Arabidopsis thaliana: one gene and its partner. The protein of the gene in region 1 interacts with the protein of each later gene in a pairwise test. Each region holds a gene or a part of one and is shown on either strand. Other genes may lie near its edges.

Region 1 (4,202 bases):
AAGTAAAATCTAAAAGCAAGATTGAGTAACTAAATCCGGAAAGAGACGATGAAGTGAAAGCAAAAGAAAATACTACTTGATAGAAAAAGGGCTCCATTGGATCCCATTGGAGAGGAGATTACACTTATTTAAAAGAAAATATTTGCGTGAAATGAAAGCAAATGATGATAAAGACAGTTTTTGAGAACATAAATAAAGTTAAGATAGTGCATGAATATTGGAAGTTGCTAGGTCATTCTCCATGGATAATGAATTATAAAATGATTCTTGACTTGACCACAAATAAATAGTCCCTTCTTTTGGAGTTTCTTGACTAGCGAAAATGTGGTCAAACATGATAGACAATTAGACATCACATCCTGAATGGAATCCATAATCTCTTGAGTTAACATGTTAATGCATCCTTAAGCTTTTTAGCACAGTTTCTATGTCAACTCATGTAATGATCATTTTGATTAACCATGTTGTTGACGATGTTCTCATCATTTCCTTTCTTGTGATAATGATTTGACGACCTTTAAATTGGTTAAAATTGTTGTTGACAGTATTTTTTGTATATAATTAATGTAAAAGTAAAATCCCCGTGATTGGAAATTCTAGAATATGTCAAATTATTTAAGTTCTTTGATACAATACACCTTTTAAAAACTTTTGTAATAAAAGTGGTTGGAAAAAACAATTTAGATAACGGATGAACATTAATTAATCAACTTTATAGATTTGTCATTTGTGACTACAAATATTGTAGATACAATGAATTAGTCCATCAAATCAGATTAGTATGTATAACCTAATAATCTGTAGTGGAGTCGGTATTGTGTCACCTACTAGATTTATATCCGTCATAATGCATATTGTTGTTGATACAATTAGATCATAAAAACAAAAATTGCAGTTCTACGTTGAAGCATCTCGGAGAACAAGTGATACTCAACTTTGAGACATCAAAATCCGAAGTAAAAAACTGAACATAATACAAACTATATTCGATAAAAAAAGGATAACTCATGATCTTTACTCTTTTTTTCTTTATTCCCTCACTGCTTTAAAATTTCCACTAATACTCTTTTGTTTCTTTGATTATTATTATCCTAGTTATGAAAAAGAAGAAAACAGAATGCATATACATACAAATATGAAAGAATATTTGATTAAAATGATGCAAAGAGCCCCATAAAGACAAAACAAAACAAACTAGTTTTTGTTGTGGAAGAAGAACTTTTTTTACTATGAACCTCTTTATCATCATCAGCACTTTCAATATCTTTAGGATGATCGAAATTGGCCGGGACGATGGTATCAGGAGCAACTTCATCATCACCGGACTGAGAGGATTCGCTAGGTCCAGGTGCAGCAGCATCATCTGGTGATGATGAATCTGGTAAGCCCTGACCATGTGTTACATTGATCATAAAATGCTGACCGAATTTACATTGTTCGCCATCATAGTTTCCCGAGAAGAAATAATTGGAACCTTCTTTAACAAGAGGAACACTTATTGAGACGGGAACAGGAGATGTTGCTGAAGGATTTGCAGCCGACCACTCTGTTGTATCATTGTTTTCATTGTTGTCGTAATCACAATCTTTGTATGTTTTGAAATCATATGTCTGAACCACCGAATGGTTGCTATCTGTGTTGAATACTACATATTGAAAACAAAACAAACGATATAACATTTTGCTAAGTTATTGTAGTAACGAAAATGGGGTTGAAGAAAAAAATCTTACTGAGGAAATCACCCAAAGAAAAGGATTTGGAATCGGCCCATTTCTGATAATTAGCAGAGGGTCTCTCTTGAATATCGAACCATCCCGTGGACTCTCCCACAGTGTAGTTCTTGTACGCATCAGCTGATAAACTCAGAAGCATAAGGCACATGATGAGTAACACATTGACACAAGATGAACAAGAAGGCGACATAATTCTTCTTACTCTCTTGTCCGTTTTTCTTGATTATAAATTGTGATTCGTTGATTGATCTTTCTTTGTAATAAAGAAAGGCATAAGAAACTGTACATAAAGTAATAATGAGCTCGTCATTGACTGCATATAAAACCAAGACATGTGTGAGTGTGACATGTGGACAATTCTTGGGGATGCGAAGGAACATGAGACGATACGAAGTGGTCGGTCCAATCAAATGACAACGCCTCTTTGCTCTTCCCCATGTGATCTCTCACTCTCACACCTTACTTTTGCTGTCTTCGCTTCCCTACGTATCATTACTTCTTTCATAAATATCTGTCAACTGCCTTTTTCTACTAAATGGAGGATATTTTAGATAACGTGTTTTGTAGTGTTTCAAAGTCGGTTGAACCGGTATTTAACCGGTTTGATTGGACCTTAAAAACCAAGGGCCCATTTAATGGAGTAAAAGGCCTAATTCGGCCCATATCTTTAGATGAAATTAATCTTTTGACCGCCGCCTGTGGTCGAACTTGTGACTTTGAAGACTCACTCTTGTTCATTCGTCTTCTCCACCATGGAAGGTGTGGCTATGAAACTCCCGTCGTTCCCTAACGCCATCTCCATCGGCCACCGGAGCTTCTCCCGCGTTCGTTGCTCCTCTTCGCTATCCGTTTGTTCCGCCGCCGCCGCTTCCTCCGCCACCATCTCCACTGATTCCGAATCCGTCTCTCTCGGCCATCGCGTTCGAAAAGATTTCCGAATTCTCCACCAGGTTTGTCCACTTTCCATAAACCTGATTAACTTTGAATTGTATGGATTTGAAAATTAAGCAATTTTACCATTGATTGAGTTTTTATTTCAGGAAGTGAATGGGTCAAAGCTTGTGTACTTAGACAGTGCTGCAACTTCTCAGAAGCCAGCAGCTGTATTGGACGCTTTGCAGAATTACTATGAGTTCTATAATTCCAACGTTCATCGAGGAATACACTATTTAAGTGCTAAAGCTACAGATGAATTTGAGTTAGCTAGGAAAAAAGTTGCTCGTTTCATCAATGCTTCTGATAGTAGAGAGATTGTTTTTACAAGGAATGCCACTGAAGCCATCAATCTTGTAGCTTATTCATGGGGTCTTTCTAATCTTAAACCAGGAGACGAGGTTTGGCTTTACTTTTATCAATCCATCTTGTTGAGATTCTTCCAAATGAGATTGTGAATGATGCAAGCTTTTCAGGTTATACTTACAGTTGCTGAACATCATAGTTGCATTGTTCCTTGGCAAATTGTATCTCAAAAAACTGGAGCAGTTCTAAAGTTTGTGACTTTGAATGAGGATGAAGTCCCTGACATAAACAAGTTGAGAGAATTGATTTCTCCAAAGACAAAGCTCGTCGCTGTTCATCATGTTTCTAATGTTCTTGGTAGATTCTTTTTCATGTTCTCATCATATTCAATTTGTTTGGCTTGTATATGTGTTTAATTTTTCCATGAAAGAAGGTAAGTATCTAACTTATGTTTCTTTTTGTTTAGCATCTTCTCTTCCTATTGAAGAGATTGTGGTATGGGCACACGATGTTGGAGCGAAAGTTCTAGTGGATGCTTGTCAAAGTGTTCCTCACATGGTGGTTGATGTCCAGAAGCTTAATGCTGATTTTCTAGTTGCGTCTTCTCACAAGGTTGGAATTGTTTATTTTTCTTCATGAAATGCATAATAAGCCCTGTGGCAAGCTTATAGTAATATGATAATCATGCTTCAGATGTGTGGACCTACAGGCATTGGGTTCTTATATGGTAAGAGTGATCTTCTACATTCCATGCCTCCATTCTTAGGTAAGCAGTCTATCTAATATTTCTTTATGAAAACAGTTTATCATATCTGTTTAATCAAGGATGGGACTGGACTGAGTCCCACTTCTTTTTTTCCTTGTATTTCGATCCTCTTTTAGGTGGCGGAGAAATGATCTCAGATGTATTTCTTGACCATTCAACTTATGCGGAACCTCCATCCAGGTAGGGATTCTACATATATTAGTTACTAATCTGCATAATTGCTGCAGTTTAGAAATAAATATATTTAAGTTTGTATCAGATTTGAAGCTGGAACACCTGCAATAGGAGAAGCAATTGCCCTTGGAGCAGCAGTTGATTACTTGTCAGGAATTGGCATGCCGAAAATCCATGAATATGAGGTTTAATTTTATTTTCCTACAACTAGACGTCAATGACGTACATACAGTCACGGAGATTCTCACATGTTTTCTAACTGTAGATTTTAATTTCTTGTGTCATCCAGG
Region 2 (3,447 bases), on another chromosome or scaffold:
AAGCTTTGAGATTGTGTGAGCTTGGTGTTGAATTGTTAGTGCTTATTAGGTTTGAGAATTGGAAATGAACATTAATTTGATTCTGGAATTGCATAAAGTTGCTTGCTTTGTTTTTGTAAGGGGAGTAAAGTTCTGAGCTTGACGTTGAGTTTCATGAAGGGCCTTTGAAGTTTCTTGTCGAAATGTACAGAGCAAGAGCAATTAGAATAGCTTTTGTAGTCTATTGGGAAACATGTGAAATTGCTTGGTCTATAAACACTTTTAGTAGGTATTCTAGCATCTGTATGATTCGTGTTTGCTTCATATGCTTAAGCTTTAGGTTTTGACATTGCAGGTGTTATTAAAATGGAGCATGAGCAAGAACAAATGAAGCTTCTGCTGAGTAGTCCTTCCTAGTGTTTATTACAAATGTAAGATGTGATGGAAAGTCATCAGCAGCTCTTTTCTTTAGAGATAGAAACAGATTTTTGTCTTCTATCAAATATACACGAAGGCTTGTTAGAAGCAAAGTTCTCTCTTCTTTGGATCAATCATTCTCTCAGTTCTTGGTTTGTACTAACAGTTGATGATTTCTTTCATATAATAATGAATCATGTTATTTCCAAATTTTCAAGTTTTATGCTCAAGCTTTTCGTATGGTTAAACTGTAGAAAGAAGCTGTTCTTGTTTTAAAGATAGCAACAGATCAAGAACTCGACCTGAGATCTTACAATTCGTTTGTAATCACAATATTATAGGAGATGTTATACTTTATCGTCATGGAAACGCCACCTAGTTTCTTTGGGAGATCTTCCATGTTTGCAGTTTTTCAAGTAATGGTCATTGTCTTTCGGCTTTTGCTGTAAGGAGAGAACAATAAACATCATAAGAAGAAGATTATTCTGTGAAAGCCTTTGAAATATGAGAAGAAGATAAAACACACAAACCTTCACGGATGAGCTGGAGAGCATTGAGAGAATGCTGAGACAGATGGAACTTAGTCTCATCGCCGGTGACCACGAATCATACAAGACATCTGCATAATCAAAAGAACACATAGAAGGGTCTTGTCATTGGACTTTGAAACAGAGTGAGTCATTGTGTTTGTATGTACTTACCTAAACAAATGTGACCGTTGCTGTAAATATGAGGATGAAGTGGAGCTGGATGCTGAAAGATAACCTGTTTTATATGTGGAACCATCGGGTTATGAGATTGATGCGATGATTAAGTATCGTTAAGTATTAACAAAAGGAGTTAGAGGACGAACCTGTGGAGCTTCCATAGGATAATGCTCAGGGAACTCAACTTGAAGTTGGTAAGTTTCATTGGCGTAAAGAGTTCCTGGAACTCCATGCACTTCAATGATCCATCTGTTTACACCAACAATTCAACATTACATCACCGATTATCAATATTCGAAGGAAAGACAATAAAATGATTATGTACCGTTGGAGATTATCAGAGACTCTGTGCTTGAAACCAGAAGGAGGATTGGTTTGCCACTCCATGAACTCTTTCTGCAACCGGTTCGTGGCGATTTTGGTCAGACCCTAACATAGTAAGAACAAGAGAGAGATGATCAAACCAAAGACAACAATGGAATTATAACCAAAAAGGTACTGTTATATTTAGTTAAAGAAACAATTAACCAACCTTGCGAGTTGATTCAGAAGAACTCGTCATTTGTGTTTATTACAGTGAGTGTGAGAGAGAGAGATTGTGTGTGTTTTGTCTCCTTAGCCATATCCAGTGAGCTTTTTATAGTGTCTTATCATCTTTGCAATGTGTCTAAAGCGTTTGGGTCTATGTCCAGTCATCAATCCGACGTCGTTTTTATTGTGTCGGCTCTCTTTAATCCGGGACTTTCCACTTGTGTTGGAGAAGCGAATCTTACACGCTTTTGCTACTCTCGCGATCATGATCAAACCAGTTAGGAATATTATCATAAAACATTCCAATATCTATTTCGGAAAACCAAATTTCTTAAATTAAAAATCTCATACCATTATGAATATCTGAGTTATGTAAATTTTAGGATAACCAAACTGATGCATGCATATTATTGATATTAACCAAAAATAAGAATTGATACATGCATCAGGTAAAAGTTGGCTTGTAACATTATTTTAATTTATTTCCGGTTTATGGATCCATCATTCAACGATGCCTTGGATTTTTAGCGATGATATATTGCTTTCATTGTCTTATTGCCCTTGTCCTTCTGATTATTTTGAATGGATCGATGGTTACAAAAGTTGTAAGCAACTTGATTATATATCAAAACTGACTAGTCATAATTACAATTATGATGCATGATGTTGTTGTATGCATTGGCTTCACCTTAAACCAAAACTTGTACACATTTGTTCCATGGAAACTATGGTCTATGAACTATGGTAATACGGATCTTATATTCCTATCTAGTTAGGTCCAACTTAGGTCTCAGAAGAATATATACTTGGTAGAACTTAGAACAAATATGTTAAAATCTATAGCTTATCTCTTAAATTAGAGAAGTTAGTTAGACTTATACAAATCAATCGGACCAGATATTATTCCGGTTTATCTGACCGATCTGGTTTCTCCTAGTAAGACATTAAAGAAAGGTAATACATGAAGTAAAAACAGAACTATGGGGAAAAATAAAAATAAAGTCTTTTTGTGAACAAAATAAGAAAATCCATTACAACAGAAATTCCAAGAATAGAAAGATATTATGTGAAGATTCTTGAAAATACTATTATTATAGATTATCTTTTCGAGTTTTGGTCTACATACACTGCAAATTTTAACTTTAAATACACGTAAGATCAATAGGTTTAGATTCTTTCTTATCCTTTACTAAAAAGATATTAAAACAAGGTAACAACAACAACAACAACAAAGAAGAAGAAGCGAAGCATATACACTTTTGAGTTTAAAGACTTTTTAATCAGCACTTGTATTTTTGTTCCTTTGCATCAATCATATCGCTCAAACTTGGCTGCTCATGTTCCAAATTCCTGTTTGAAGAATCATCTCATCACCACCCTTGCATTCGCCGAAAAAAGAATGTCAATGATTCCAAAGTAAAAGATGATGATTCTTCACTTTTGACGTTGGAAGAGCATTCATAGATAGAAAGATAGATGCTTTCAATAATTTCGGTGCGTAATCATAAAGCATAATAATCTTTTACCTTAGTTGGAGAAGAGAGAGTGAGGAAGAACTTTGTAAGGGTTGAGAATTCCCTTTGGGTCCAGCAACTTTTTAATGGAAGCCATTAATGCAACCTGCATAATATTATATTCCGGTAAGAATAGAGTGACACGATAGTTCTATACATAGTTTCCATACGTTGTTTGTTGTTAACTTACAGTTTCGGGTGATTTGCTGTAGAAGATTTCATTAGCTTTCATTACACCTAATCCATGTTCCGCACTGATGCTTCCACGGTGCTTTGATGTCCACTCATAGACATAAGGC

What was found.
Region 2: the proteins of ENODL18 (region 1) and UBC17 interact in a two-hybrid assay, tested with the Arabidopsis thaliana proteins (one large-scale study listed by BioGRID).

What each region holds. Positions count from the first base shown.
Region 1 is NC_003070.9:2,686,831-2,691,032, reverse strand, and holds ENODL18 (early nodulin-like protein 18), read right to left. Parts: upstream 2,154-4,202; 5' UTR 1,924-2,153; coding exon 1,731-1,923; intron 1,646-1,730; coding exon 1,152-1,645; 3' UTR 783-1,151; downstream 1-782. Other genes in the region: CPNIFS (chloroplastic NIFS-like cysteine desulfurase), read left to right, coding at 2,486-2,683, 2,774-3,067, 3,143-3,329, 3,439-3,584, 3,666-3,738, 3,855-3,918, 3,998-4,097, 4,202-4,202. UniProt on the Arabidopsis thaliana protein: May act as a carbohydrate transporter.
Region 2 is NC_003075.7:17,200,187-17,203,633, reverse strand, and holds UBC17 (ubiquitin-conjugating enzyme 17), read right to left. Parts: upstream 1,713-3,447; 5' UTR 1,666-1,712; coding exon 1,636-1,665; intron 1,533-1,635; coding exon 1,429-1,532; intron 1,353-1,428; coding exon 1,250-1,352; intron 1,162-1,249; coding exon 1,098-1,161; intron 1,016-1,097; coding exon 927-1,015; intron 840-926; coding exon 744-839; 3' UTR 646-743; downstream 1-645. Other genes in the region: D2HGDH (FAD-linked oxidases family protein), read right to left, coding at 3,162-3,254, 3,339-3,447. UniProt on the Arabidopsis thaliana protein: Accepts the ubiquitin from the E1 complex and catalyzes its covalent attachment to other proteins.